Linked DNA regions of Nothobranchius furzeri. The protein of the gene in region 2 purifies or fractionates together with the protein of the main gene of each other region. This does not show direct contact. Links are inferred from orthologs where the notes say so. Each region holds a gene or a part of one and is shown on either strand. Other genes may lie near its edges.

What was found.
Region 1: the proteins of eya4 (region 2) and dctpp1 purify together in Homo sapiens (affinity purification with mass spectrometry; 3 studies listed by BioGRID and IntAct, with this or other methods). This does not show direct contact. The link is inferred for Nothobranchius furzeri from reciprocal best matches to the Homo sapiens genes EYA4 and DCTPP1.

What each region holds. Positions count from the first base shown.
Region 1 is NC_091747.1:80,460,087-80,476,083, reverse strand, and holds dctpp1 (glutamyl-tRNA(Gln) amidotransferase subunit B, mitochondrial), read right to left. Parts: upstream 7,614-15,997; 5' UTR 7,408-7,613; coding exon 6,931-7,407; 3' UTR 6,734-6,930; downstream 1-6,733. Other genes in the region: piggyBac transposable element-derived protein 4-like, read left to right, coding at 9,166-9,334, 9,445-10,104, 10,200-10,444, 10,531-10,941; gatb (glutamyl-tRNA(Gln) amidotransferase subunit B, mitochondrial), read left to right, coding at 7,657-7,796. UniProt on the Homo sapiens protein: Hydrolyzes deoxynucleoside triphosphates (dNTPs) to the corresponding nucleoside monophosphates. Has a strong preference for dCTP and its analogs including 5-iodo-dCTP and 5-methyl-dCTP for which it may even have a higher efficiency.
Region 2 is NC_091742.1:855,970-872,804, forward strand, and holds the end of eya4 (eyes absent homolog 4), read left to right. Parts: intron 1-473; coding exon 474-617; intron 618-833; coding exon 834-916; intron 917-2,967; coding exon 2,968-3,142; intron 3,143-4,309; coding exon 4,310-4,446; intron 4,447-4,601; coding exon 4,602-4,685; intron 4,686-7,476; coding exon 7,477-7,566; intron 7,567-7,760; coding exon 7,761-7,819; intron 7,820-7,980; coding exon 7,981-8,141; intron 8,142-9,998; coding exon 9,999-10,113; intron 10,114-10,238; coding exon 10,239-10,360; intron 10,361-11,723; coding exon 11,724-11,824; intron 11,825-11,903; coding exon of another isoform or gene 11,904-12,004; intron 12,005-13,438; coding exon 13,439-13,519; 3' UTR 13,520-14,013; downstream 14,014-16,835. Other genes in the region: rps12 (small ribosomal subunit protein eS12), read right to left, coding at 14,145-14,207, 14,375-14,476. UniProt on the Homo sapiens protein: Tyrosine phosphatase that specifically dephosphorylates 'Tyr-142' of histone H2AX (H2AXY142ph). 'Tyr-142' phosphorylation of histone H2AX plays a central role in DNA repair and acts as a mark that distinguishes between apoptotic and repair responses to genotoxic stress.

The DNA.
Region 1 (15,997 bases), on a different chromosome or scaffold from region 2:
AAGCGCTTTGATCAGGTTTCGCCGCTGATTTAGGAAGTCACTACTAACCGTCTGTCACTCCTACACTGCCCCCTCCATGAGTGCACAGACTCAGAGTCTGGGAACAGGGAACTGCTAATCTGGAAAGTCAAAGATCCACATCCATCCATCCATCCATGCTAGTCTCCTGATCTGGCGTCGGGTTGCGGGGACAGCAGCCTAAGTAGGGAGGCCCAGACCTCCTTCTTCCCACCCAGTTGGACCAGCTCCTTCGGGGGTATCCTAAGGTGTTCCCTGGCCAGATGAGAGACATTGTATCTCCAGTGTGTCCTGGATCTTCCTTTGGGTCTTTTCCCAGTTGGACATGTATGGAAAACCTCACCAGGGAGGCATCCAGGAGGCATCCTGGTCAGATGCCCAAGTCACCTCAACTGGCTCCTCTCAACGTGGAGGAGCAGCGGATCTACTCCAAGCCCCTCTTGAACTTAAATATATTAAAAGTAATTTAAATTATGCTTTTGTTGATTAACTTATAAAAACAGGAATGCAGCTTTCATTTCAAATCTTATAAAAGCTGAAAAGTCTTTCTTCCGTTTGCAGTTTTTCAAACATAAAGACGGAAAGGGATTGGTCTGAGCCGGGATGCTGGAGTCGTTTTCATCTTGCTGCAGTGAAGTGACCAAATTATTGTCAGAGTAGGAAAACTAAAACTTCAGTGTGATGAATATTATAGGGAAGGGTTTTTTACCCAGTAAGCTAATTTTAATGTGTGTGAGGGAAAGGCTGTTGCTGTAAAGACACTGGGGGGGGGGGGGCTAAAGGACTCTAGTAGGGTTAAATTAATGCCGGCCATTTACGATTTGACTAGTTTTGCTCTTTTCTTTTGAAAGTAGGACCCTGCTTGGGTGTCTGGGGCCAATTTCAGATACATTTCTGACTGAGTCAGCTCTAATTGTCTCTAAAGGAAGGTCTGGATGTAAAACATGTTGTTTGTTGTTGACAGGAGCTCTCGTTTTCTGAAGTCTGTGACTTTCTGCACATCTTTGCAGCTGCTTAGCAGCAATAATAAAGTGTGTTGTCGAGTAACTCTACAGTACAGCTTTGGATACGTCCCATCACACAAATCCAGGACATCCTAAAAGCTAACTTTACCCCTTAAAAAACTGCTGGTATGCTTTTTTTGGATTTAAAAGCATCATGCAAGGATATTTTCTTTCTATTGGGATGAGAAGCAAAACCTCATCAAACACAAGAAAGGAAAACAAATCCAGTAAAATGATGTCAACATTGTGCTAAAACTGTGATAAATGTCAGTAGTTTGGCATAAATACCATTATGTTTGCTTTGGAAAGGCCTTTTCACTGTCATTGGCATCTTCACTCACAAAACTCAAATACTATATAGAATTATTTTTGAAGGATTTCAATTAGAAAAAAAGCCTATTTATTCTGAAATAGTTGAACATAATAGAATTTAATGATTGCTGTAATAATTGCAGCCTAAAGCTATTTGGCCAGTTCCATCGGCCTACAGCAAAGCGTGCTCTGGAGTTAGCGATTGAAGAGAATAAAATGTGTAAATGGCACCAACACTGTTCTGTTCAGATAAGCAGCAGCCTGGAACCAAGCGACCCCATGAGGACAATAAAGACTGAGTTAAAACCAAAGAAATGTTTAATTTCCTGCAGAGATTTGCTCGTGTTACGTGTCTAGATTAGTTTAGAGAGTATGGCTTGAGTAAAAGGAGAAGAATATCCTAAGATGTTCAGAATGCTTGTAAATATAGGATGAGTTTGTTGTAGGGAGAAATCACTAAAGAGGGGCAAATATCTTCTCCATCCATTAGCAAAAAATGTCTTCCTTTGTTTCTTTGTGAGTGAATTTCCTCATGTGGGATGTGAACCACTAAATAACCCCTTTTTTTGAGGTCTGACAGCTCCAACTTCTGTTGTTATGGGGAAATAAAGTGTTATCTGGGAGATGCAGATGATAAGAAGGAAATTGCCCCAAAAACAGAAAAATAAAGCTTTTTCCACCCAAAAACAGGCCCAATCACTGCAGTAACTCTGTTTGAGCACAGCAAACTAGACTCCGAGCATCCTCTTAGAAACTCAAAACAAGCAGCTACAGGCGTGATGGTATCTGCTTCACTGAACAGCACAAAGCACAAGAAACATCCACAGATTTCAACTCATCAAGAGTCTAAAATGTAATTATGCCCTCAGTGCCGCAGCACGAACACCCTCTCAGTTCTTCCTCAAAACGTAATAAACACAAGGGAGCAAAAAGTCATCTCCTTAGCTCGTTTCAGCGAACATTTAGAAACTTTTAAAGTGAAGCCAACTCAATACGCCGAGAGAGACGAGGCTGCACTTCAAACCAACACAAGTACAGTCTTTGTTATTTAGGTCAAAACTTCCCTTGATTTGGGTGCAGTTTGTGATACTGGTTGGGTTTGTTGGATAAATTTGAAGAGGCAATCTTACAATGTGACTTGTAAAAGTACAATCAGCAAGACAGTTGCATGGTGGTTTCTAAAAGAGGCTTTTAGAAGGTTCCAACACATAATCAACTCTCGATCACCAAGCAGAAAGTAGCTTTAGATGTCATATTGTGGAGATTTTTTATTCCAGAGATGAATTGCTTCTTTTTCATGTAAAGTACTTTGGTGCAACAACATACAAGGGTCAGTTTAATGTAGACATTCTAGTTTATCTTGAGTTATGATAGTAATATGGTGTATTAAAACCTGTTAATGAAGCTATTTGCAATAAATTCCTCTCGCATGAAGCTATTTCAGTAGTTTTAATGTTGACAGTTTCAGTACCTTCCAGAATGAGCCATTTCTTGGCCCTGCCATTTTGAGAAAACAAGCTGTACTGACCATTTCCACCCATCCCCTACATGGCTGCTATAAGCTGAGAAGTTCAGTTACCCAGGTGGTTGTATTCTAATTTCTCTATTTGTGATGTCAAACGGGTTGTTTAAGGTGCATGTTTCCTAAAATCAAACACTGATGGAAAACAAATGGACAGGGTTTTTTCATGTTTGAGGTGTTTCTAGAGACAGCAGAGACCAATTCTGGCAGCACAAAAGGATGCAATAGATGAGTTTTGCAATATTATTCAATTTTAAAGGACCTGCATCATGCTACACCTTTCAGAGCAGCGATAGGCCCAATAAATGATAAAATATTATCATTGCTAATTCCCTTGCTTGGTTCTCATCTAAACGCAGCGTAGTAAAAATGTGTTTTTACATTTTAAGGAAGGTGAAGTGAAGGAAACAAGTCGAAGACACACAAGAGCAGCAAAAAAAAAGCAGAAAGTAGCTACAATAAATAAATCGGCCGTAACAGACCACTGCACAAGGGAAAACCATGGTACAGCACACCCCAACCCCACACAGAACAACAGAAATACAAAAGCCAGTGAAATTAGGAGACACGAACCAAGGACCATGAACAGAGATGATGGCAGTGACGTGCGGTCAGAGGAGGCAAGGGAGGCACTTCCTCCTCTGTCACTGTGACAAGTAAAAAATACTAATAATGATTTAATATAAAGTCAGTGTATCCACTGACTGTCTGTCTAAACTCCCTGCTAGCTGCATGGAGAGGCTGGGCGTTAGTGTTTACAGTCGAGGGGAGGAAGGATCTGGACTTGAGAGAATACCGGGATGTGATCTAGCAACAACCTAATCCGTTTAAGCAAAAATTTGCTAATCTGAAGAAAAGAAGCAGATGAGACAGGAAAATGTATGTGTGGCCATTTTGGGGATGTTTTTGATGAAGAAATAACACTTAAACATGGTCAAAAGCTCTATGAAGTGGATTTAGCATACTAACTTTTAAGTTTGGATTAGAACTTTCAGAGGAACTGTTTCAACTCAAACTGAATGTAAAATCATAATTTATTTAAGGTGTTCAGGAGCAGGTTGAAGATGTGGCAGTTTAAAATGAATGCTTCTAAGCATTCATCTAAAACATCCAAATATGTTCAAATTGACATATTTTTCTATCGGTGCTCAAATGAAAAGGTGGACATCCATCCTAAGAATCTCACGAAATATTTAAAGACAAAAAAGCTTCAGGTGACAACTGGAAGGCTTGTTTGAGACCTTTTGATAAATCGGGGTCTTTCTAATAAACTGGGACTGAGTTTTAGGATCATACAAAAACAAGCAGATGTAGAATATTGTCAGCAATATTTTACATCAGATTATCCAAAATAGTTGGCCTGTAAGTTTAGCCCTCATGTTTTCTACAACCCTTTAGTCAGCGATCGATACCTGAAACCAGAAAACGTTTTAGTTTGATGCCAGATTAACAAACATTTGCTCCATCTGAATATGGATTCGCCAAATCTTTTTAAATAAAATGCAGTTTGTTTTGAAGTCAGACTCAGCTTACCATCTTAGCGATGCACGACTGTTCTCGACAGCTTGAGTATGACTCACACTTCCCACCGAAGACCAGGATTTCCAGATGAGGGCATGGTGTGTCTCAAAATACATCAGACAACAATAAAAACCTCCAAACATTTACTCTTCAGTGCCACACCAAGTCCTCCACAGATGTTCTGCTCTGCATCACATTTACTTTGCACCTATAAGTCATAGAAAAAGGCTGGATATATTGCTCCTCCATATTAGTCTGGTGTGACCTTTGGATCAGGTGAATCAAAAAGGAGTGAATTCAGAGAGATTTGTAGTGTTGTCCTGCGAGAGTGAGCAGGAAGATTCAAACTGAACATGTAGTCGAATATCCCACAAAACAAAGTTAGTATTCTGTGGTTTGGCCTGTCGTTCACATTAAAGATAAAGCACACACCACCAAACATTATTCTTTCAAAAAGTCAGGCCAGGTGGAGGTTTGTGAATTCTTCATTGTCAGCATTCGCTTGTGGACATAAATAACCAGTTTTAGGTTTCACAAGGTCACTGCTTACAGTAAATTTGCTACCTTTGTTTACTCTCGCTTGCATTAGGGTTAGCGTTAGAAAGACCACAAGCAAAGGACATTTAAGATGGTTGTTGCACACCACCAAACTATTCCACATCCAGGGAATAAATGCAGCAGACTCCAACAATTTAGAGAACTACTGCCTCCTACAGGCCTGGCATGTCTATAAATGTGCTTCCAATGCACTTGTTTTTTATTTATTTTTTGGCAAAAAACGAGATGTTGTGGATCCAAGTTTTTTCCTAGTTGGTCAGGGGTGGCTATAGGGAACCTGAGTCACGCCCACCTACTTCCTCACCATGGGTCCCCGCAAGAATGAAGAAGATGAATGCAAGTCAATGGGGATAAAAACACTACTTTCTATTTCTGCTTGTTTTGTGACACAGATTTTACATCTGATGTCCGTGAATTTTAAAGAAGCTTTTTGATACCACTAATGCGCTTATTTTCAAACAGGGGAAATGACATTTTAGGCTGCACAGTGGCACAGTGGTTAGAGCTGTTGCCTTGTAGCAAGAAGGTCCTGGGTTCGCTTCCTGGCCTGGGATCTTTCTGCATGGAGTTTGCATGTTCTCCCTGTGCATGTGTGGGTTCTCTCTGGGTTCTCTGGCTTCCTCCCACAGTCCAAAAACATGACTGTTGGGTTGATTGGTCTGTCCAAATTGTCCTTAGGTGTGTGTGCGTGCATGATTGTTTGTCCTGTGTGTCTCTGTGTTGCCCTGCGATGGACTTGCTCTCTGTCCAGGGTGTACCCCGCCTGATTGCCCATTGACTGCTGGAGATAGGCATTTCATGACTATTTTTTCTGATGTTAATCTGATTCTGTTTTGATAGCATTTTGATTTTATGACTTTTTTAATTTTGTTTTCATCTATGTGAAGCACTTCGTGATTCTACGTCTGTGAAAAGTGCTATATAAATAAAATTTACCACATTTTATGTAAATACACCAATAATGCGGGGCAGCAGTAGCTCAGGTGGTAGAGCGGGTTGCCTCATGATCGGAGGGTCATGGGTTCGATTCTAGCTCCCGCCAGGGGTATCCTGCTGTTGTATCCTTGGGCAAGACATTTCACCCAACTTGCCTGTGTTAGTGGTGGTCAGAGGGGCCGACGGCGCCAAATGGCAGCCTCGCCTGTCAGACCTCCCCAGGGCGGCTGTGGCTTCAAGTAACATACCAGCACTGGCAGTGTGTGAATGTGAGAGTGTGTGAAAGCGTCTTTGGGTGTCTAGAAAAGCGCTATATAAGTTCAATGCATTATTATTATTAGGTATTATAAATTTCTTACTTGGCCAGAAGCATAATATAAATTAAATTAATTATTTAAAAAGGAAATGTCTAAACTGAAATGTAAGATTCCATTTTTTGACCAATCAATTCAATTTCAAAAATTCAACCAGACAGAATTACTAACTGAAAATATAAACATAGATAAAGGTGCATGATAAAGTTAACTGCACAAATACACATAAGTGAATAAAACACACACAAATCTGACTTAGAGCTACTTTTACTTTAAGAAACAACACGTAACAATCACGATTAAAACAAACTGTTCAAATCTGGTGGAAGTTAATCATAAAAACACAACATTCTCTATTATTAATGATAAAGAAAAAAAACATTTATCATCACGGTCACCTTTGCACTGCAACCAAGGTACAAACTCAGATTATTTAGAAAAGTATCTTCTTCCAAATCATCATCAATACACCAGACTGGTCACATGAACAACAACTTTCAAACAGACCAGAAGTATTTTCCTTTTACAAAAATAAATGTTTTAACAGTGACTCGGAAAGCACATGAGATCTTCCATATTAGGTCTGAGACAAAAATGTAAAATACAAAACAGTAATCGTGGTTATGAAGGTATCTGGCCCAGAAAGACAGATGTCCCGCAGCAGGACTTTGGTAGAGTTTACAAAAGCAACTCCAGGCAGCAGCAGCTGGGAAGAAGCGTCCCTGATCAGAAATGTCCCCCAGCCTCAATCCTCGTACTCCGTGTACTTTTTGGCCGAGCCGTGCACTTTGCTGGCGGGATATTTCAGCCGGTTGAGAGCAATCTTACGGAGGACCGCTTGGGGGAGGTCGACGCGACACTTCTCAGCGAGCTCCAGCAGGTAGATCAAAACATCGCTGAGCTCGTGGGCCAGTTGCTCCCGCTCGGACTCGGTCCAGCCCGGCAGACCCTCCGCCACCTCTCCTCGCCACTGGAAGAGCTCCGCCACTTCGCCCACCTCTCCGACCATGGCCATGAGGAGGTTACGGGGCTGGTGAAACTTGTCCCAGTCCCGCTCGTCGGTGAACTCGGCCTGCATCCGCCGAATATCCTCCATGGTGGGCTCGGGGCTGAAAGTGAACTTCTGTGGTCGAACTGCTTCCCTGTTGGCGTGTGGCTGCTCCTCCGTGACCGCTCCGTTCTCTTTTAGTCCGCGAGCTTCTCTTCCGTTTGTTGCCATCATGTTTCAGCAGAGTTCGTCCGTTTTTCTCCTACTAAAACTGTTTTTCAATTGTGGCAAACAACGCCGGTTCACATGCGAAGTCCCGCCGGTCGACAAAGCGGAAATGACGTAGTCTTAAGAGGATGTTTGGGTCGGTTCTTAAGCTGATGGGTTTTGTAGTTTTCACTTCAAAACAGTTAACTTAGTTGTTGCTTTACAATGAAATAAAAAACTACAAATCCCACAAATTCAAATACCGTTAAGGACAACATGGCGTCCTGCGTTGCAAACGAGTTGCTTCATAAAATAAAACAATTATCAATATTATTGCCCATAAATGTTTGTTTACGTAGACGATGTAGCACATCCAGCAAACAACGCGACAGCCAGCGTCATCTCACAACCAAGAGGTAAGACAGTCCTCTCTTTCTGTGGATAGTTTATGCATTTATATGATATTTTCTTCAAAATAGCCACACTTTGCTCTGATTACTGCTTTACAAACTCTTTGCATCCTCTTGATGAGCTTCAAGAGGTAGTCACCTTAAATGGTTTTCCAAGAGTCTTGAAGGACTACCTAACATCTAAAACACGTTTTCACTTATTTCACCTTTTTTGGTTTACTACATAACTCCGCATGTGTTCATTCATAGTTTTGATGCCTTCAGTGAGAATCTCCTAATGTAAAGGGTCATGAAAATAACCCTTACCTCACATTAGAGCATTTTTTTGTGCTGACACGTGTATTTTTGTGAATAACTTTGGCTATGTTAATGCAATTTATCTAATTTTTATGGAGGATGTGTATTTTGGAAGGAATTACAAAAAAAAGTTTGAAAAAATATTCAACCTACTTTATTAAAACGTGGAAATCATTTTGTACAGTTAAGCACATTGAAGCATTTTTTTGTGCCATTGACTTTCATGTAAATCATATATTTTTAATTAGCATAAATATTGGCATAATTTTAAAAAATTATGATTGTGCCCGTGTTTACAGTCTCATCACAAATGTAAGAAGCAGTTTTTACTGTTTTTCACTACATGGCATACTTTCTCCATATATAGCAGGGCAATGGCTGACCCAGCATTTAAACTGAATGATTTAGCTGTATTTCTTTACCTCTGACTGCCCATTATAATACATATTTTGCAAAAAAATGGTTTGTGTGTTATTTAGAGATGCCATACAATAGTTTGCATGTGTGTGTTCTGAATTTTTGGTAATTGTGCTTTTTCAGTGTTCTTTCAAAAAATAAGCCTGACTGAATGTACAAAATTAGCTTATTCTGCAAAATAGCATTTTGACATGTGTTCCTTTGTGTGTGATTGTTCAGGCATGCGTGTATGTAGGTATCAAAGCACTTTACAGATCTTCAAAGGACAGATCTGTGATCATTATCTGGAGTGGTTGAGCAGGTGTGGGCCATGGGAGTGTAGGGGGGGGGGGCACAGGTTCTCACACTCTGTTGACTTCATGAATATTCATCAAAGGAATGCTATATATCAAAAATCAAAGGATTTTCTGCTAAATTTCAGATACTCATTCACAATTTTACTTTTGCAAAATGTTATTTCAATAAGTACAAAGCATTTGCATGGATGAAAGCTAAGATGAAGGCTGAAAAACTTCAAAGGCATACATTTGTTTTTCAAAACAAATTCCTGCAGAATCGAATTTTGTTTACATTCAGTAGGGGCAGCTTACACAGGTGCACCAATTGACTAAAAGTACATATATGAGACTCAGATCAGGATTCATTTCTTTGAACCGCAACCATGAGAAGAAGATTCAATGTGAATGAAGCCCTGGAGGTGTTTCAGCAGCTTGAGGAAGAGGGAGAGTCAGCCTCATCCTCATCCACGGACGACAGCTCTTGTTCGGATGAAGAGGCTGAAGATCAGGCCTTTACCCCAGGGCCTGATTCAGGGGAAGAAATGGAAGAAGGTTCAGATGAGGAGGTGGTTGCTGCAGAGGAGAGATGGGACCATCCTTTGTGGCAATCAAAGAGCGGGATCGCCTGGTCCCCGACACCAGGATCCCCTTTCGGGCTCCAGACGTCCGCCATTGTGGGATCACCCGCCTCGCTGTCAGCTACATCCAAACTATTGAGGACAGCTTCGATTTTTTTTTAACTACAACAATCCTAGATGTAATAATAAAATACACCAATATAGAGGGAAGAAGAAAATATGACGATTGGACAGACGTTGACCGCGTGGAACTCCGGGCATTGTTTGGGTTGCTCATCCTCGCTGGTGTGCACCGTTCCCGTGGGGAATCATCTGCCAGCCTCTGTGGGGAGGAAACGGGGAGGCCGATATTCAGAGCCACGATGAGTTTGGGAAGGTTCCACATGCTGACTGCAACATTGCGCTTTGATGACCGCTTGACCAGGGCAGCCCGCCGGTTGGTGCAGCAGGACAAGCTCGCTCCCCTGCGGGAAGTGTGGGACCTCTGGGCGGCCCGGCTCCCTCTCGCCTACAACCCCGGTGAAGATGTCTGCGTTGATGAACAGCTCGTCGGATTCAGAGGTCGCTGCAACTTCAAGCAGTACATGCCCTCAAAACCGGCAAAATATGGCATCAAGCTGTGGGTGGTGTGCGATGTGGCCACTTCTTATGCCTGGGGGATTATTCCCTATCTGGGCAAGACGACTCGAGACGCCCCGGCAGAAAGGGGGCAAGGGAAGCGGGTGGTGCTGGAACTCACGGAGGGTCTGAGCGGCCGCACTGTCACCACGGACAATTTTTTCACCTCGCTGGTTCTTGGAGAGGAGCTGCTAAAAAAAAAATCTGTCTTGTGGGAACAGTTAGGCGCAACAAGCCAGAGTTGCCCCCACAGCTGCTCCAGATGAAAAGCAGAGCGGTTCTGTCCTCCCTGTTCGGCTTCACCTCCACCGCCACCGCGGTGAGCTACATTCCAAAGCGCCGGCGGAACGTTCTGCTCCTCAGCACCAAACACCATCAGGTTCAGATCCAGGAGGGACCGCAGCAGAAGCCGACCGTAATCATCGATTACAACCGCTGCAAAGGGGCAGTTGACAACTTGGACAAGGTAATTTATTTATTTTATTTTGTTTTATTATAATTCACCAACCTAATTGCATATGTAATTTATTTATTCATTTATTTTTATTCCAGCTCGTTGCAACATACAGCTGCCGCCGCAAGACCAGACGTTGGCCCATGTCGCTCTTCTGCAACATGTTAGATGTGAGCGCCTACAATGCCCTGGTCCTGTGGCTGTCTGTGGAACCGGCCTGGAACCAACAGAAGAGGAGCATCCGTCGAAGGCTGTTCTTGCAGGAGCTTGGGACCTCCATGGTGAGACCAGCCCAGGCGAGGCGCACTCGCTTGCCGTGGTCCAGCAGCGCTGCAGCTCTGTTGGAGGTGCAGCAGCAAGTGGAGCCAGGTCCAGCCCAGGAGCAGACAAAGAAAAGATGCCACCTTTGCAGAGGGAAGAGGAGCGTGCATGCACGCTTTTGCCATGCATGTGGACAGGCTGTGTGCAAGGAGCACTCAACAGCTGTGTGCTCAGCCTGCAGCTGTTAGCTCACTCCCCTCTGTGTTTCTCTCTCTTTCTCTCTCTCTCTCTCTCTCTCTCTCTCTCTCACACACACACACACACACACACACACACACACACACACACACACACACACACACACACACACACTTTTTCTTTGTTCGTGTGCTTTAATAAAGTGTTCAACTGGTCATCTTTGTAAGTGCATTTTTTTGTGCTCTAATGACTTTAACGTGAGTATTTTAGAAAATATGACATTACACAAAAACTACAAAGTGAGCAAAAAATATTTTTATGCCTATTTGTGACACTCCAAGGCTGTGACAACTTACCCACAAAAAAGTTAATCTGGACATAACACACAAAAAATGATTTGATTTTTTCATTTTTTGTACAGTTTTCAAACTTCGGGTTTTGCTAATAAACCTAGCAATGAAGGGGTTAAATCTGAGAAACACACACATATTTTATTATATTTTGTTAGGGCTGAAGCCAAGGATGAAATTCATGTAAAAAAATTGGGACTTATGAAATATTATATAATATTTCTATGGGAAGCTTTCTAAGTGCATTTTTTTGTGCTCTAATGACTTTAACGTGAGTATTTTAGAAAATATGACATTACACAAAAACTACAAAGTGAACAAAAAATATTTTTATGCCTATTTGTGACACTCCAAGGCTGTGACAACTTACCCACAAAAAAGGTAATCTGGACATAACACACAAAAAATTATTTGATTTTTTCATTTTTTGTACAGTTTTCAAACTTTGGGTTTTGCTAATAAACCTAGCAATGAAGGGGTTAAATCCGAGAAACACACACATATTTTATTATATTTTGTTAGGGCTGAAGCCAAGGATGAAATTCATGTAAAAAAATTGGGACTTATGAAATATTATATAATATTTCTATGGGAAGCTTTCTAAGTGCATTTTTTTGTGCTCTAATGACTTTAACGTGAGTATTTTAGAAAATATGACATTACACAAAAACTACAAAGTGAGCAAAAAATATTTTTATGCCTATTTGTGACACTCCAAGGCTGTGACAACTTACCCACAAAAAAGGTAATCTGGACATAACACACAAAAAATGATTTGATTTTTTCATTTTTTGTACAGTTTTCAAACTTTGGGTTTTGCTAATAAACCTAGCAATGAAGGGGTTAAATCTGAGAAACACACACATATTTTATTATATTTTGTTAGGGCTGAAGCCAAGGATGAAATTCATGTAAAAAAATTGGGACTTATGAAATATTATATAATATTTCTAAAGGAAGCTTTCTAAGTGCATTTTTTTGTGCTCTAATGACTTTAACGTTAGAAAATTTAAACGTTGGGTAAGGGATAAAGAAAACACATTGAATGAGAAAGTGTGTCCAAACGTCTGGCCTGTACAATATATATAACACACACACACACACACACATATATACATATATATATATATATATATATATATATATATATATATATATATATATATATATATATATATATATATATATATATATATATATATATATATGTATACACACACACACATATATATACCGAAACGGTTCAGCAGTCCCCCGTGAACCCTTACATCTTGAATACAAGTACTTCTAAAAAAATTAGCATATTGTGATGAAGTTCATTATTGTCTGTAATGTACTGATAAACATTAGACTTTCATATATATTAGATCCATTACACACAAATGAAGTAGTTCAAGCCTTTTATTGTTTCTAATATTGATGATTTTGGCGTACAGCTCATGAAAACCCAAAATTCCTATCTCAAAAAATTAGCATATTTCATCCGACCAATAAAATAAGTGTTTTAATACAAAAAAAGTCATCCTGCAAATAATAATGTTCAGTTATGCACTCAATTGCCTATTTTTGCTCATTTTAAATATATTTTTAAACATTTTCTAAATGCTTTTTTAAGTTTTACATTTTTTTGCTTTTGTGAAGCGCCTCGTGATTTTTATCTTGAGAGGCGCTATGGAAATGAATTTCTTTTTCTTCTTCTTCTTCTCCTCCTCTCAACTTTCTCTTCACAATATCCCACAGGTTCTCTACGGGGTTCAGGTCAGGAGAGTTGGCAGGCCAGTTGAGCACAGTAATACCATGGTCAGTAAACCATTTACCAGTGGTTTTGGCACTGTGAGCAGGTGCCAGGTCATGCTGAAAAATGAAATCTTCATCTCCATGAAGCTTTTCAGCAGATGGAAGCATGAAGTGCTCCAAAATCTGATAGCTAGCTGCATTGACCCTGCCCTTGATAAAACACAGTGGACCAACACCAGCAGCTGACATGGCACCCCAGACCATCACTGACTGTGGGTACTTGACACTGGACTTCAGGCATTTGGGCATTTCCCTCTGCCCAGTTTTCCTCCAGACTCTGGCACCTTGATTTCTGAATGACATGCAAAATTTAATTTCATCCAAAAAAAGTACTTTGGACCACTGAGCAACAGTCCAGTGCTGCTTCTCTGTAGCAGGTCAGGCGCTTCTGCCGCTGTTTCTGGTTCAAAAGTGGCTTGACCTGGGGAATGCGGCACCTGTAGCCCATTTCCTGCACACACCTGTACACGGTGGCTCTGGATGTTTCTACTCCAGACTCAGTCCACTACTTCCGCAGGTCCCCCAAGGTCTGGAATAGGCCCTTCTCCACAATCTTCCTCAGGAACCGGTCACCTCTTCTCGTTGTGCAGCGTTTTCTGCCACACTTTTTCCTTCCCACTGACTTCCCACTGAGGTGCCTTGATACAGCACTCTGGGAACAGCCTATTCATTAAGAAATGTCTTTCTGTGTCTTACCCTCTTGCTTGAGGGTGTCAATGATGGCCTTCTGGACAGCAGTCAGGTCGGCAGTCTTACCCTTGATTGCGGGTTTGAGTAATGAACCAGGCTGGGAGCTTTTAAAAGCCTCAGGAATCTTTTGCAGGTGTTTAGAGTTAATTAGTTGATTCAGATGATTAGGTTAATAGCTCATTTAGAGAACCTTTTCATGATATGCTAATTTTTTTGAGATAGGAATTTTGGGTTTTCATGAGCTGTACACCACAATCATCAATATTAGAAACAATAAAAGGCTTGAACTACTTCAGTTGTGTGTAATGGATCTAATTAGGGCTGCACAATATATCGTTATCGTGATATCAGCATGCACAATATGCATATCGCAAAGAACAGATAAATATTGCAATGAATGGCCAGCTCAAATGTTTGCTACACATAATGCATTCTGTCAATCGATGATGTTTTTTTAACAAATCAAATAGAGCTCTTCACCCATTCGGCCAAATTGGCTGGGTTCTCATAGGTCAGATGCCTGCCCCCGAGGCGGATGGCACTATGGTTAGCAAACACCTGAGTTAGCTTCGTTAGCTCTTTCTGCTGATTCTGCTTTTCCCGGGATCCACTGATTGCCTTTTCTTGTTCATTTTCTTTTTCCTTTTCCTCGCATCTTTTGCATTTCTCATTCTTATGATTTTTTATTTCTTTGTTTTGATTATTTTTGTTCCTGAGTTAAGTTTTTATTTATCGCAAGTAATATCGTCATCGCAATATTAATCATTGTTATCGAATATCGCAGGTTTTCCTAATATCGTGCAGCCCTAAATGTAATATACCATAATTTCCGGACTATAGAGCGCACCTCAATATAAGCCGCACCAGCAAAAAAAAAAAAAGGTTTTCTACACACACACGCCGCACAAGCCGCTGCGCAGCAGCCACATGCAGGTCTCCGGCGCACAGCGCATGTACGGCTATAACATAAGATAATTAGACAGAAAGACACTACACGGAAGTTTTTCATTGTTGTTTTAATTCAACAAAACAAATTTTAAACACGTGTGAACGTGCCTGCAAGTTTAGAAAAGAAAACAGCACTGATAGCATTCATATTTCTGGATGGTTATAAAATAAAAACAGCACTGACACGTTATTACCATTAATTTGCATGTTTAGAAGAAAAGAACAGCGCTGACACAGCATTAATAAGCCCTGGATGATTAGAAAATAAAAACTGCACACAAAACATGCCTGGTTAGTAATGATCTGCACAGTGGAAACACCTCGGCCGTCTGCTCTTTGTGTGTTCACCCAGTCTTCAAGAATGTTTTCCAATTCCGGCCATCAGCTTTAATTTCCTCTGAAAGCTTTTGTCGTTTTTTACATTGAGTTCTTCCCGCTGCCGCCTCCAACGTCGCACCATTGATTCATTTATGCCAAGCTCCCGTGCAGTGGCTCTGTTTCCTTGTTTGATGGCCAGATCGATCGCTTTTAACTTGAAAGCTGCAGCATGTGCATTCCTCCGCGTGTTTTCCATGACAAGGGTGTGTCTGATGTGTAAACGTGCCCCTTTAAATCAAAGAGCGTCTTCTTCTGCGCATAACGTTTTGCCGTGCCTGTCTCACTTTACTGCTGGAGAGTGCCTCTAGTGGTTGTTGGCCAACAAAAATCTACACATGAGCCGCACCATGATATTGGCCGCAGGCTTGAAAGCACAGGGAAATAATAGCGGCTTGTAGGCCGGAAATTACAGTAAATGAAAGTCTAATGTTCATCAGTACATTACAGACAATAATGAACTTTATCACAATATGCTAATTTTTGAGAATATATGGTTTTTGTGAATGCATTTTTAAAACAGAAACAGGCAAATTAAACTGAAGTGGAAAAACAAAGCTGGAGTACTCGGGTCAAAGTAAAAGTATTTAGTCAGTGCATATAAATGAACCAATGTTTCAGCGTTGCTGTCTTTGTCAGAGTTACTAATTAAATAAAATTAAACTGTTCTAAAGTGCTAAAACAATAAATACTGTTAATAATAATAATAATTGCAATAGCTGAAATGTTGTTAAAGTTTTCACTGGCCCCATCTGGCCACCCCTATGAAAAGTTTGTGGGTGTGCCTCTGATGTATTTGTCCACTTAAAGCATATCTTTGGTGACAGATTGTCATTTGAGTCATTTGAATGAATTGGACTTGTTTCTCTGTAAAGCACCCCTAATAAACTGGGTCAGTGCAGGTGATCTGATTAGAGTGGATGTGTGAGCCAGACACAGTTACAGT
Region 2 (16,835 bases):
ATATTGATCAGCTTAAATCTCCGAAGCAGCTTTAGGTTATTGTTCTCCATAATTTAAAAAAAGAGAAATACAAAGAAATAGGCTACAGGTTGCAAATCAAATGTTGTTCAAAGAGGGGAAAAAAGGAACATTCTTGAAGTAAGTCAGATGATTTTTACAGTTTAAAAATATTGTTGAACACTTTGTTAGACAAGACGTACAGGACCTAGCTACATTCAAAGTTTAAGTTCAGTCTGGTTTGTCCTATCTAGGCTACTGTAGAAATATGGTGACTGTTCCAGGACATCAAAATCCTAAAATATCCTATTTTTATACAATCCTGCATCATCAAACGCATCTTTATGAAAACATTCCATTATTTAAGCAGAAATGTTATATGTAGAGAGCAAAGCAAGGCAGGTATTTAATCACAAACATGCTAATGCTTTCACTTGTTCTAACATTATTATTATTCTTTATTGTCCCTGTCACAGACCTGGGAATGATGCTTCCAGGGATTAAGACAGAGAGCAGTTTAACCCAGAGTCAGTCTCCTCTACAGACGGGCCTCAGCTACAGCCCCGGTTTCACCACCCCTCAGCCCGGACAGACGGCCTACTCCCCCTATCAGATGCCAGGTCAGCTCACAGGAAAAAAGAAAAGAATCAGTTTTACAGTGTAAAACTTCTGTTTTATATTTTGATTGGGTATTATTTTGGGTATTTAGTCTTATGATGATCAGAACACTCCTTTATGTTTTATAAATCTGTATAATAATAATGTCTTTGTAATGTAAGAAATAATTTCCAGTAGGTGTGATTTCTGTCTTCTCTGTTCTTGTTTTTCATTGAAAGGTTCTAGTTTCACTGCTTCCTCAGGCCTCTACGCCACCAACAACTCTGTGTCCAACCCTGCCAACTACACTGCTACACAGCAGGTAATGCACACTCGTGCACACTGAGAACAAGAGTCCAATAACCAGAACAGATAAAACAGTTGAAGTAAATGGTTCTTTTTTTGGTTGCAACAGTGTTTGAAAGTGATTTTACAGCCACACTCCAGCACAGCTTCCTCAGGGTAGAATGAAAAAAGAAAGCTCACTACTCTGCAACATGGGAAACGCAACTCTTGTGAAAGAGTTTTGTTTTGAATATTTGACTTCGTCCAAATGATGAATCGTTTTGTGGTTGTAAAATGCTTAGAAGGGGATTTCAATTTCTGTCTATGATAGATGTGGCTGTTTACATGAGAAAAGGCTAGGTTTGGTGTGTGTGTGTGTGTGTGTGTGTGTGTGTGTGTGTGTGTGTGTGTGTGTGTGTGTGTGTGTGTGTGTGTGTGTGTGTGTGTGTGTGTGTGTTGTATTACACATGTGTGTGTGTGTTGTATTACACATGTGTGTGTGTGTTGTATTACACAAGTTATCAGAACAAATCTGTTGAAATCATTTGGGGCACAAAAAGCAAAATTAGCACACACTGGGATCGTTTCCGTTATCAGAACTTCCAAATAATTGTACCAGACCTTTATGGCATTCCCGTGTCTCTATTTCCCTGAAATGACAAATTTCCACGACATTTCAGGGATCAACAGAGTACCAGAACAAGGGTATGTGCTCTGAAATGGCCCTATAGGGTCACTGGGCAGGACTTGTGGTTAACACATACTGATTGGTTGTAACTCTTTAGGAAATGACATCAGCAGGTGTGGCTAAAAAACCTGGAATTTGTAAAATTGGAAGCGTTAATGGTGAAGCTGAATTAAAGGAAAAGAAAATAAGTAGCGTTGATGCTGCTTTAAACTCACCTCTCCTAAACTCCCAACCTTAAAAAACGCGGCGGGACTCCCGCCCCAACGCCATACCTCACAGTGCTTTGTGGTGTCTTGCAGAGCACCCTAAAGAAACGGCACTTCTTCTGATCATTGAACACTTCTTTTTACATCACCTGAATCGACTAAATTATGATGTGTGAGAGAATTTAACTTTTTCATGTAATGTACATGGATGGTCTCTGGCACTGATCAGTGACATCACTCACTGTTGAAACGGTCGTGAAATGCTGACGTCTTAAGCTGGGCGGACACTGTGCGACTTTTTCACTCGTAGCACTCAGCTTCAGCTCAAACTGTACGACTTCCTCGCAGGGCAGATCTCACGAGTCATGCACTCACATTGCACGACCCAGTTCTCGGATGCGATTTGACTGCTCACACTGTACGTCTGGTAGCAACACGTCGGCCCTAAAAATATGCTAAAAATAGCAGTTTTTACTCAACACGTCAGACTTTTTTGTCTTGTCTTGCCTGTTGTCCTTCGGGAGTGCTGCAGGAGGACACACAGGGATTTATGGGGGTTGGATGAGGAAAACTAAATAAAGAAAGTAAATCTGTGTTTTGTGATCAGTTTAATTTGACATGAACACGACAAACACGCTTTCTTGACAATCTTTGTGAGTAAAAAAATGTGTAGAAATAAAAACGAACAGCGTGTGTTAGGGAATTAGCGGGCGAGCAGCGTTGATGCAGGATTGCGCATGCGCCGTGAGCGGTTCTGATACTTTTTGGGTCACAGCTGCTCGCAGCGCCGCTTCAACAGTGCGATAACCTCATGAGGGATGAGCGAAATATTAAACACGCCAGAAGTCTGTGCGAGCTCATGACTGCTGATCGGTAGCTGGTCACGTGGTGTTAATCGCCTCTCATAACCCCCTGTACACTACACGACGCTCGGCGCAAAACTCGCCCCGATCTCATGGATTCTCGCACGAGTGTAAAATCGGCTCAAAAAAGTGAAAAAGTCGCACAGTGTACGCCCGGCTTCAAAGTCCTGAAAGGGACGATTTTGTATGGAGACCCAACGGCTGGGAGGACAGAGCCATCGTACCTCCCGGTCACTCTTCCCTATCCCAGACATTTCCTGGAACTCCTATAGTAGAAACGGCTATTACTCCTATGTTTTCCCTGCTTGCTAATCTGTGTTATCATCTGCAGGATTATCCCTCATACACAACATTTGGCCAAAACCAGTATGCGCAGTATTACCCTGCCTCCACCTACGGGACGTACGTCACCTCCAACAGCGTGGACAGCACCAGCTCCACGGCAGCTTACCAGCTGCAGGATCACACTCAGGCTATGACAGGACAGGCTGCAGAACTTCACCCAGGTGTGCAGAAAATGTATCCTTATTAATAACTAGGGATGTAAGAAAATATCGATATGGCAATATATTGTGATTTTTCCTGCAACGCTATACTGGTATTCAAAAGCTGTGTATCACATTTTTGGAATAATTTACATGCAATCTTTTTGTGTGCAATTCAAACGCTGACCACTAGTTGGCAGCAGTGTGCAATGGGTTTTGTTTCCACCACTGAAACGTAAATCCCTCTATCGTGGTTCCGATACCTCACGTTAAACATGTTACGTATCAGTTTGGACTGTTAATTGAATTTTCCTACAAAACAGTCTAAAAAAAATTGTTAAAATCGTCTGGCTGAATGTATCGCAACATATCGTACTGTCTCCCCTGAATGTGATACGTATCGTATCGCCAGAATTTCACCAATACACATCCCTATAAATAACCTTACAGAACAATTAATTACATGGCATCAGCTGTTATTAGTTTACTGGTGCTTGATAAACGACGTATTAGCTGTTAGCACATCAACACTCTTGAATGTAAAAGCTTTTTCTCTAAACTGAGGCCACTCAGAAAGCTGTAACTTTCACACAGAAACACACGTCAAAGTGGCAAGTCATTTAACAGCAATTTGATGGGTGGTCTCAAAGATTTTGTTTGATTTGTTACATTATTTGAGTCTTCCTCATCCACCCCCTCCCTCTCGCTCTCCTTTCTCTCTCCGTACGAGCCCCGAAAACCCGAGTCTGGTTCTGGTTACTGAGCAGCAGTGGGTGCATATAGCACTGCAAGGGTGTGCTCGAGTGGAATGTCCATCTGTAGGCCTCTACTGTGTTTTTCCATGCATTCGGAATATCGATTATATGCTTTGTTAGGAATCATCTGATTACATAATGTGTTTGAATTATTGCACACTTCCTTTAAATCTGAATCCTACATTTTCCAGCGGACCTTTTGTTTAGGTTTCTTTCGAGAGTTTAAGTGGATCTTTCAGAGCAATTACTGTGAATTATTAAACTTGCCAAAGCTCTGTAAAAGTCTGAGTTATTGCTCTTCCTAACGTGGACACGGCATTCTAATGGAAGCTGTTTTAAACATGTCTTCACTGCTTTCACAATACAGTGAAGGTAGTTTGATTGTGCCAAATATTTACCATTCAAGCATAACTGTGGTTCTGTTGACTCTCAGGGGACTTTGATACAGTGCAGAGCCCCTCCACGCCCATCAAAGAGCTGGATGACAGAGCCTGCCGGAGTGGGGGGTCCAAGTCTCGTGGCAGAGGCCGCAAAAACAACCCCTCTCCTCCCCCTGACAGTGACCTGGAGGTAAGTGACTGAAAAACATGTTCTCACTGAGAACCAAGAGCACTGACCGGATTATCAATTCAAGCGTCACTAGAGATTTGTTCTGACTTTCAGTTTTGACCTTCTGCTGGAGAAGAACTGAGCAGAGAAATCAGTTTCTTTTATTTGTTCTGCAGAGGGTGTTTGTGTGGGATCTGGACGAGACGATCATCGTCTTCCACTCTCTGCTCACAGGCTCCTATGCACAAAAATATGGCAAGGTAATAATCCGCCTCCAAAACCTGGTAATATTTTCACTCTCTGGGTCGAGACAAAATATCTTCTGAAAATAATCGCTTATTGTCTGGCAACCTCCCGGAGCGCTTCTCCATTTAGTAATGAGTTAGTCAGAAAAAGTGGGCATTAACAAATAAAACTGAATGCAACAAAACATGAAAATACAAGAAAAAAGGCAAAACAAATGAGAGAAAGTGGGACAAAGCATTCCAATACCTCGGAAATTACGACAGAATCACTTGTATAACTTTTCCACGAATGTTGCAGTGTGTGTCCTGTCATGACCCATACTCAAACCCTTTCAATCCAGAGGAAGCAGTCCACCTTTCTCGGGTTGAGAACCATGACATCAGAACAGGACAACATCATCTGCAAAAAGTTGATGAGAACCTTCCTTCACACTAAACAGGATCAGTGATGGGGGGGCACCCTGGCAGAGTCCTACCTGCTCTAGCAGTGAGAACGTGGACACAGCTCTTACTGACTGTTTCAACACCAGATTGCCCTTAAACGTCACCCTGGTACCCAATACTCCTGCTGCACCCCTACAAAATGCCTCAGCAGGCGAGGTTGGAAGGCTTCACCGGGTCCGCAGAGCACATTGGAGCTCGACTGCCTAACCTCTGCGACCCCCTTATCAAGAGTGACGATCCGGTCTAAAGCTTCACAGCTCAGAGAAAAGCCCCCCTGCTCCTCCGAAATATCGGGTTGGACTGTCACTCCACGCCTCCTTTCCAAAAAAGTACAAAATATTCTCCAAAAATGACCAAAACCAATTACATTTCCCCATCAGCTCATATTCTCTAACTCAACAACAAACAGGGCACTCGTTGTTCACAGGCATTTGTACCTCTCAGTGGACTTTAACTGCTCCAAGAACGATACGCTCAATTTATAAGTGCATAGTTTATAAAACGAGTCTTTAAATGTAGCTATAAATAACTGTCAGTACTCTTATTAGTCTAATCGTAACCTGAATGTGCTCATTTCTACCTCTGAATGGTGTTTACTCCAGTCCTCTCTGAACTGGTTTGGTGGTCACTTTCTCACTTACTAGCTGCACTGTTTATAGTTCCATTTATTTAATAGTTCTTGGCACCGATCTGGGATCATCCTATGTGGCCACGGCTGCAGATTTTTATTGGGTGATGTCGTTTCCTGTGGGTACCCGTGTGGCCACTGGCCTCCCCGTGTAGGCTTTTCATATTTGGTTCATTCTACTGTTCTGTTTCTGCCTGGCAGAACAAAAGCTGGCATGGTCTGAGGGCATGTAGCCAGACCTTCATAGAACTTTGAGGGCAAGTCGCTTTACAAATAGGCATTTGTGGGGACTGATGGGCTTCCTTTTTGCTCCACACCAGTGAAATTTAATGTTTGGCAGTTTGGATTTATAAGAAAAGCCCCGGTTACTTGTGTGTGTGTGTGTGTGTGTGTGTGTGCGCGTGTGTGTGTATGTGTGTGTGTGTAGGGCAGAAACACATGTGGCCTCAGAGGCTGAGTCAGACTCAGAAAGATGATTTCATGATGTGCGTTTGGACTCAAGTGGAGACATTTGTGCATTTGTGATATGCATTCCAAAAATGAGAAGTTTTCTGTGGTTAAAAAACTGTTTTGTATTTTATAAACTAAAACATTTTCGTTGAACTTTATTTGAGCACAAACTGAATTTGCACCAAAAACATAAAAATCAGCAGCATGAGTGTTTTTGTGGAAATGAACACGGATCATGTTATTTTCAGATTAAAATGTGAAGTTTGGACCAGATTTATTATATTCTTCTACCATAGTTTTTAATTTAAATGTTTATGCTTGCTGATTTTTTTATTCTGTAGAATGTGTTGCTTTAAATTTGAAAACCAACCATTTCTAATATGCAAAAGATTTTTTTTTACTAAATTTGGGGGACCTGTTAATGCAACATACTTCTCTAAATAATTACAGGGGCCTTTTTTTCACCTTATTTTCTGCTGATGCGAGAATCCGTGGCAGCTGCTTCTGTTTGCACCTCACCCTAACTAGCATTTACAGTATGGACACAGAGACCACCAGATCTAAATTCCTGTCATACGTGGTTCGAGGTCAGATCTGCTGGACGCAAACACAAAAAGTCAGACTGCTTATAGCTCATTTGTAACAAGGGAAGATGTTTGGGACATCAGTAGGTGTGGATTTTTAAGAGTTCAAGGAATTAGTGTAGAAATAGTCAAATTAGCCAGACGAATATTTATAATTACTTAAATATTATTAAAAGTTTTGGCCTAATTGCAGCACCTGGAAAGGCTTAATGCTTTCACCCTTCCTTGATTTTGTTTCTGACACTCAGGAATGTGTGTGTGTGTGTGTGTGTGTGTGTGTGTGTGTGTGTGTGTGTGTGTGTGTGTGTGTGTGTGTGTGTGTGTGTGTGTGTGTGTGTGTGTGTGTGTGTGTGTGTGTGTGTGTGTACATGCGCATGCACCCCCTCGCTAACCTTCCCTCTCCTTCCTGTTGGTTTCTTTCTATTCCGGTCTGACAGTGTCAGCGAACTGTGCGACAGGCTGTCGACCCCCGCTGGTCTATCACAGATGATGGTTTTTGCAGCTGAGTTTCAGGCTGGCAGGGCAGGCTGTGCTCTCCCAAACACGCGCAAGCACACACACACACACGCGCACACACACAGGCAAACAGTTCTCATACATTCGGGCTCCGGCAGGCTCCGCTCAGGCAGAGGGTGTTTCCAGCTTCTGTGTTTCAGAAAAAGCTGAGTTCTAGTGATTTAGAAATCCCCCATGTCTGCAGGACCCTCCCATGGCGGTGACCCTTGGTTTGAGGATGGAGGAAATGATCTTCAACTTGGCCGACACGCACTTGTTTTTTAACGACCTGGAGGTAGGAAAAAAAAAACTTTTACGTTTATGCTTAAATTTTAAGAGAAGTGTTTAAAATTGCATTTTTGTTTGCACATTAACTTAAAGATTAATAAAGTTGCTCACTGAGATGTCACTACCGCCATCTAGTGGCAAAGTGAATATTGTTTAGATTCTGATTTATCCGCATGGACTTATGAGTGTTTGTGACTCCAGGAATGTGATCAGGTACATATTGATGACGTATCATCAGACGACAACGGCCAGGACTTAAGGTTAATATTTCATTTAATTTAGTTTGCATGATGACTTTTTTTCTACTTGAAATCTTTTTTCTTAAAATTGAATTAAACATTCTGATGATAATTAACAATAATCAAGTTTTTGTTCCACCAGAGCAGACTTTTCAAATAAAACATATTATTATTATTGACAGTACTTACAGTTTTGCAACTGATGGCTTCCATGCAGCTGCAACCAGCGCCAACCTGTGCCTGGCTACGGGGGTCCGTGGCGGGGTTGACTGGATGAGGAAGCTGGCCTTCCGCTACAGACGGGTCAAGGAGTTGTATAGCACTTACAAAAATAATGTCGGGGGTAAGCTAATACAAATGCAGTAATTTTGATCTGTACTAGGAGAAAGGTGCTGTTCAAGAAGGGTTTTATTGTCCTAAAGTAACACCTGAGCAGTTTTCTGTTCCTCTGTCCTACTGGTTGAAAGTGGAATTATAAAGTCTGTCGTAAACAACCCTGCTGTAGCTATTGCTAACAACTAGCTAATGCTAACCCTAACCCCCAACTAATACTAAAATAATCCACAAAGTAAAAAGATCCACACTGTTGAACAAAAAAAAATTACAAGTCCAGAAACAACAAAGCCAGGTCACCATCAGTCCGTGATTTTGTAGCCTCTTTTAGCTCAAACTAACACAAACCCGGCTGATGTTCACTCTGATTTTAGCTCTTTACTTCACGTCCAATGACATTACTCTATTACTTTTACGTCCAGGCTTCACCATGATGCCAACAAAAAAAAAGCAAATTTCTTCTTTTTCTACTTGTGCTTTATATTGATGATTAGCGAACTGAAAAAGCTATATGTTAGCATTACAGCTAACAGCCATGAAGCAGGTAAAGACCTCCCCCTATAGAGCACCTACATGCTCCACAAAACTTAAGTGCAGTAACTGGCCAATAGAAGAAGAAAAGATCTCTTCTACAGCGCCTCTCAAGATAAAAATCACGAGGCGCTTCACAAAAACAAAAAATTTTAAATATTAAAAAGAATTTAGAAGGTGATTAAAAATATGTTTAAAATGAGCAAAAATAGACTATTGTGATTAAAATATGTAAAGAAAGAGAGAGAGTGAATAGGAAAGAGGGAAATCGGTGGGTCCTGAGGAAGGTGGAATAGGTGGGGAGAGCAGAACCAGGAGAGGGTGATGAAGGTCAAGCAAAAGCCAGCTTGAACAAGTGAGTCTTCAGCTGCTTTTTAAAGGAGTCCACTGAGTCCACTGATCTCAGGCTCAGGGGGAGAGAGTTCCAGAGTCTGGGGGCCACAGCAGCAAATGATCTGTCACCTTTGACCTTTAGCCTGGTGCGCAGTAGAGGGCTGCAGAGTGGTGTTCAAAGTGAAGTTGGTGAAATTTCTACTCACACGGTCACTTAAACCCACTTTTGAAGGAATAGTTTAAAGTGTTAAAAAAACTGTTTAGTGTTCCTTTAAAGCAGAAATGAAGATTTTTGTCAGATGGCACCATCTAGAGCAGGGGTGTCAAACTCATTTTAGCTCAGGGGCCACATTGAGGGAAATCTAGTCCCAGGTGGGCCGGACCGGTAAATAAAAAAAAACTTCAGATTGTTTTCTTTGTTTTAATACAATCAATATAAAACAAGGCTGGAGCCTGAGGACAGTGTAGTACAAGTACAACACCTGAAGTGTACTTGAAATTTTGAAAAAAAAAAAAAAATCAATCAATAAAAAAAAATTCCTTAATGATTCAAAGAACTTACAGATCACATGGCAAGATCAGTTTCATGCAGCACTTAAAGCATATTTGACTCATTTAACTTTACATCTTTTAGCTTTCACCAGCACATCAATATCAGAAGTCACATCCTGAGTGGCAGCCAACTTCAGGATGTGATTCAAGTTCTTGTGTGAGCCTTGAGCGCAGCTTTGTTTTATTTATACTCATTACAGAGAAAACTTGCTCACAAAGATTAGTTTATTTTCACTCTACATTGTAAAGTATGAAAATAAAGTTTACACAACCATCTCGCGGGCCGGATTAAACCCGCTTGCGGGCCGGATCCGGCCCGCGGGCCACATCTTTGACACCCCTGATCTAGAGGCAGAAAATGCGTCGCACCTTAAGGCAAACTTTACCTCTGAAAACAATTTCTCGTGTTTCTATACCTCTGACCCTGTGACTCTGTTTTTGTGTGTTGTAGGTCTGCTGGGTCCAGCTAAAAGAGATGCCTGGCTGCAGCTCAGAGCCGAGGTGGAAGCTCTGACGGACTCCTGGCTCACCCACGCACTCAAGTCCCTGTCCATCATCAGCTCAAGGTGACACATTGTTTTACTTTTTTCCATTGTTGCTGATTTTTCTGTGTTCTTGAAGTAATCCCAACACGGCAACAGATTATGCACAGAAGTGGAAAAAATGGTGTGTTCTGTGTTCATGCCCACAGGAGTAACTGTGTAAACGTGTTGGTGACCACAACGCAGCTCATCCCGGCGCTGGCTAAGGTTCTTCTATATAGTCTCGGTTCCGTTTTCCCCATCGAGAACATTTACAGTGCAACAAAAATAGGTGAGGCTCACACACGCATGTACACACACAGTCATGGTTCAGATCACATAACGTGTGGAGCCTGAATCCTACCTGTTGCATTCGGCCCTTTGAACAACCTCAGTTTGTAGAAATAGATATAATCTCGTCATCTTGATAACATACGGCTAGTTGAAGTGGGTGCATTGCTATTAGGAAGTAGCTCTAATCTGAAAGAAATCATTGCATTTTGTATTTTTCTGCTTTTGATACCCTAGGATGGGGTTTACATACTTAAATAAATAGTTGCTTGTGGTATTTGCACTAGCAAAATAACGGACTTTGGACTAGTCATTAGCTTGTCACTGCGGTCAATCTGTTTTTCTCTAAACTGAGGTCATTCAAAAAGCTAACGACCACAGGTAAGATGAAATTCATACCTATAAACCGAATCAAACTTCAATAGATCCAGCTCTCTAATATATAAGAAGAAAGGATAATAAATAATTTATCTACAGTTAATTCAAATGTTTTGCCACATTTTTGACAATTGTTTTCTTTAAAGGTCAAAGTCACTGAAGAGGATTAGGGCCACTGAAAAGAAAAAAAGCAACTAAAGAGAATTTTGACTCTTTTTCTTAAAACTAATAAAGTCAGTATCCGAGAAAAGTCTGAATTTTCTCTTTGCTTTTCTGCGGCCCTAATCCTCTTCCGTACAAAGTTGTAAATAACAAGGTAACCGTAATTCAGTTACTTGGATTTTAAATGGCAGTTTTGCTTTTATTACATAGAAATGTGGTTATTTCTATTTGCTAATGATGGCGGCAGCTAGCTGTAGCATTTCTGGGTCACCTCCAGGGAGAATTTTATAATATTTTTCCTGAAGTATAGAATAAAATAGAAAAGTAATTTGTTGTTATACTCAAAGTTACAAATTACTTGAGTGTTCTCACCAAGCACTATGCACCACAGATAGTTACAGCAAAAGTAGGTAGCAAAACAATGAAATCTTATTTGAAAAACACAACCTATTTAATAACGGGTGAAATGGGAACCAGTTGTTGGTGTGAACTAAAAATACATTTGCAAATGAAACCATAGCTTGAAGTTGTTTGAAGATGAGCCATCCTTGCACTAGCCGTTAGCTTGTCAATGTGGCCAGGATTATTCTATATTTCTCCAAGCACAGGTCGTTCGAGGCTATTTCCACAGCAGGTAAGAATGGTTGATTCCACATAATTTGTTTATTTGAGCCTAAGTGCTGACATCTTTGGGCCCGACGAGCGTGGGAGAGCCATTAGGTGCGGCACATGTTTGTGTTGTGGCGCACGCCGCTCTGCCACTTCCTGTCACATCTCCATCCAAACAAATGGAAAACCTGTGAAAGCCGTTTGTTTTTCTCCAGGCAAAGAGAGCTGTTTTGAGCGTATAGTCTCCCGCTTTGGCACTAACATTACATATGTTGTGATTGGCGATGGGAAGGATGAAGAGCATGCTGCCAGCCAGGTAAACAAACAGCTTGTGAACTTTGACCCCTCTGACCATGTGACCCTCCTTCCTCCCCTTGTTTATTTGTTTTTTGCAGGGAAAGAGAGTTGCTTTGAACGCATAATGCAAAGGTTTGGCAGGAAAGTAGTGTATGTTGTAATTGGGGACGGTGTGGAAGAGGAGCAGGCGGCCAAAAAGGTAATGGACCCCCGAAACCTTAGCGTGACCCCGCCTACTCCGCACAGTGTGAGCTCTGATTGGACGAAACCTGCCTTTCTTTGCTGCAGCAGTTTTTTGTTTCTCTGGTCCACTGGCTTTTTGTTTTCATGGTGTGATGGGAACCTGGAGTGAATATCTGAGTTACAATCTGGCTTGGCTTATTGTGGATATTTGTACTATTAAAGCTGAAACGTCCCTCCAACACGGAACGTCTGAACAAAGATGACCTCGTTCAGAACTTTAATTCTTAATAAAATGTTTTGCCAAATGTACACAGTAACCAAGCTTTACATAATCACTTGTTTAGAGAATCATTGCTGCTTTTTCCAGTGATTTTAAATGTCCTTCCTATAGGTACTCTACATTAGAACATGTCTCCTTCAGAAAACGACTCCTTCCTCTTCAGCTTTGGGTTTTATTTGTGACACCTGGGGTCGTTTAAAGAACAATGCATTTTGGGAAATATTCCTATTTACTTCCTTGTTCGGTTAGATTGAAAAGACAGATAAAGACTGTTTACTTGGAACAAAAAGCTGGAAATATGGGGGGATTTTAAGCATAGCTGTTTTAAATTAAAAAGATGCTTTTAGAATCAAATGTCAAAATGTTTACAAACAGATCTTTGGATAAAGAAGTGGTTCACATGAACAGTTCAGGGAACATTTTCATTCAGCTGTGCGTGCTTTCACCAGTAATCCAAGTTTTTAAACGTTAAATAGAAAATCAGGAACTTTTTATTTGTAGGTATGAAATAAACCAGTTAGTGGTTAGAACTGGGTGAAAAATTCAAGATTTTTTTGCAACAACAGACCCACTAAAAGTTTATATTTAACACATGGTTGTATTTACTAGGGATGCACTGACAGGAAACGGGCCGATATGTGCTGGTGTGTGTGTGTGTACACATTTATGCTTCAGAGACTAAACACAGGACTAAACAATTAAACATCAACGCCTCACTCTGTGAAAGACACAGAAACAAGATAGAAAACATATTGGTTAAGATCAGCCCAGTTTTATTTATGGGGCCGATACCCATGGTAAAAAATGACTAACATATCGTATTGATGCCAAATTACCGACGGGATTAAAAATGTATAAAAACTGTAGTTTTCTTAATTATCTAAAATGTGCAGAAATGTTCCTCTCGTCTAAAACGACCCAGAAGACCAGTACGTCTAGGAGCCACACCAACGTTTGAGTCGTCAGCCAGATTCTTCTGCCTGTCATGCAACTCAGAACAGGAGCTGCATATTTCCCAAAATGCTTCCGGATAAGACGTGCATGGGTTTGGTTTGCAGTGCCATTGCAGCTCCAGGCTATATAGATGGCGTAGCTTGCATGAGCTGAGGTGGTGGTCTTCCACTGCTGGAGCAGAACCTGTGGTTTTAATGGTGTGTGTTCACTTCACAGCACAACATGCCCTTTTGGAGGATATCCAGTCACTCTGACCTGCTGGCCTTGCACCAAGCACTGGAGTTTGAATACCTGTAAGGACTGTACCATTGTGGACTTGTGCATCGCTACCATGGAAACAGCCCTCTTTTGTACTATTTAAGAACAAAACTTAAGACTGCATCTTGTGTTTTTTTTTTTTTATCTTTTTCTGAATGTTTGGATTTACAAACTCTTTATGGTCTTAAGCAAAGAGGTTGGAGGTTAGAGGTCAGTGGGGTTTGGAGGAACTGGACTCTATGCACAGTGACCTGGATGCTGATACACTTCTGAAGAATCCAGTTTACCGTCCACGCAGCTGAGCCAGAAAAGGATCTTCTCAGAACCTGGAGCGTTTCTCTTCCTGTTACCTGGCGTTTATCTAGAGCAACAGACAGACATCCTCACCTAATGTTAATCTGAAGGCATCTGCATAGATTCTAATGTAAACTGGGATACTTTCTCCCTTCAAAGGGTTTTTTTCCTGGTGGTAAAACTCATGCAGTCCGTGGTAAAGAAATCTGTAAATTATTTCCAATAAACACAACAGTGGATGTTTGTTTCTTTTGTCAATAAAATTCTAGCTATTCTTTCCCTCCTGAATTCATAATCCCGACTTCATATCGAACAGCTTTAACACAAATCACCAGAGACAAAGCTTTTATTTCCACATTTTATTCACATCTCATTTCTTGGCTTTGAAGTATTCCTCAATCACATCCTTAGCTTGAGACTCTTTGCCATAATCCTGTAACCAGAAGAAAACGTTAAGATTAGCTAAACAAGTTCCGGTTATTTAAACATGTGGGTTTGGTGCAAGTAGGTGACCGGGATTGCACCATGGCCAAGACTTGGTATGAACAGCACCAAACCATTTGTCCTTGAACACAGAATGCCACGTTTTACTCTGATTACCTTGACAACAACACAGCTGCAGCCCACCACCTTGCGGGGTTTGCCCTCACGGTCGATCTTGCACAGACCAACCCACTCACCGAGCTTCTTGTTGTCGTCAACCTGAAATAGAAATTTAAGTCGATGGAGAGTCAAACAAGCAGTAGAAAGTAGGACTGTACTGAATAAATGGACGGTAAATACCCGTAAGCACAAAAACAGTCGCCCACTAGATGGGGCTGTGGCAGCAGAATTGCTCCACATCCAGATTCATTGACACCATTATTCCACTAGATCTATTAATTGCTATCATTTTAATTGCTACCTAAAATACTGCAACCCTAATAGAAAATACTTTGGTTAAGATTGGTTGAAAAGCTAAAACACACTGGACAAGTATTAAAATAACTAAAATTTCCTACAAACAAAAAGTATTTAAGATACAATCTCAGTCTAAAGATGGAGATTACAGAGAGCTAGCCTGGCCTGCCAGACTCTTCCTCTGTTCTACATAGGGCTGCAACAACGAATCGATAAATTCGATGAAAATCGATTACTAAAAGCGTTGGCAACGAATTGCGTCATTGATTCGTTGTTGCGCAACTCTTCCAAAAGCCCCCTCCCCTCCTGCCCGCCGTTGCGCGCAGACCGGTGGAGAGCCGGCAGGTGTTTGTAAGAGGAACATGGCAGAAGCAGCGAGACCCCAAAAAAGTAAAAACTTCTAAAGTTTGGGAGCATTTTCAGTTAAATCAGGCGAAGACATTCGTTACCTGCAACGTTTGTAGGTCAGACTTAGCATGGCACGGGGATACTACGGTGATGATGCAGCGTCTTAAACGCAAGCATGTCAGAATCATCAGCGAGGAAGGAGAGAGCTCGGTGTCCGGGTAAGTTAAAAACTTTTCAAAAGTGATTCACCCAAGCCCCGGATTATTACACAGGCTAGACATGCCCTAAGCTCGTAAAAAAGTCTATAAAACTGTAAGCGCGACGCTATTAGATAGGCGGGGGGGGGGGGGGGGGGGGGGGGGCTCGCGCCGCTGCGAACCGGTTCCGCCGTCACATTCCCGCAGAAACTGGTTGATCACACCGGGGCCAGACTACTAACATGTGGCTTTACAACCACAATGTCCTCGAAGCGAAAACGCTTTTAAAAGGGAGGGAGGAGTCCTAACTGTTGCAGCAGGCGTGTTGTGTGAGAGTGCAGTTATATACTGGTTAATATATTTTTGGGTTCAGTTGCTTTCATGTGGCCTAATGTGAGTCTATTTGGGATCATTGGAATGATCAGCAGCATTTCTTGATGTGACTTTATGGCAGTTGCCCAGGGCATCATCACAAGGAGGATGGCATTCATTTACTTTTGTTTTATTTGGTATTTTTCAGTCATTTTTGGAAATAGTGATTAATTTTGATTAATTCACAGCCTATGTTTAATTACATTTAAAAATTAGTTGTTTGACATCCCCAGTTATAATAAATGTCAACAGATGAGATCAAACAAAACAGATGAGAATTGCCCTTAAAGAGCAAGTCACCCCCAAATAAACATTTTTTTGCTGATAAACTAAACAAACGAGTGTCTAAAGCCGGGCGTACACTGTGCGACTTTTTCACTCGCAGCGTTCAGCTTCAGCTCAAACTGTACGACTTCCTCGCAGAGCAGATCTCACGAGTCGTGTGCTCACACTGTACGACCCAATTCTCGCATGCGACCTGACTGCTCACACTGTACGTCTGGTAGCAACACGTCGGCCCTAAAATGTGCTAAAAATAGCAGTTTTTACACAACACGTCAGACTTTTTTGTCTTGCCTGTTGTCCTTCGGGAGTGCTGCAGGAGGACACACAGGGATTTATGGGGGTTGGATGAGGAAAACGAAATAAAGAAAGTGAATCTGTGTTTTATGATCAGTTTAATTTGACATGAACACGACAAACACGCTTTCTTGACAATCTTTGTGAGTAAAAAAACGTGTAGAAACAAAAACGAACAGCGTGTGTTATTAGGGAAATAGCGAGCGACCGGCCGGCGTTGATGCAGGATCGCGCGCGCATGCGCCGTGAGCGGTTCTGATACTTTTTGGATCGTAGCTGCTCGCAGCTGCTCGCAGCGCCGCTTCAACAGTGCGATACCCTCACGAGGGACGAGCGAAATATTAAACACACCAGAAGTCCCTGCGACCTCACGACTGCTGATCGGCGGCTGGTCACGTGGTGTTAATCGCCTCTCGTAACCCCCTGTACACTACACGACCGCTCGGCGCAAAACTCGCCCCGATGTCGTGGCTTCTCGCACGACTGGAAAATCGGCTCAAAAAAGTGAAAAAGTCGCACAGTGTACGCCCGGCTTAATCGTGCTGCAGACACGTGTTGTCAATAATTTGGCACTTCAGTGCATCTTAGTTAAAATTTAAATATTCTGCCTAAAACTGGCAGTGTTGTGCCGTTGTCAGGTAAAAACTCTGCACTGTATTTTAATT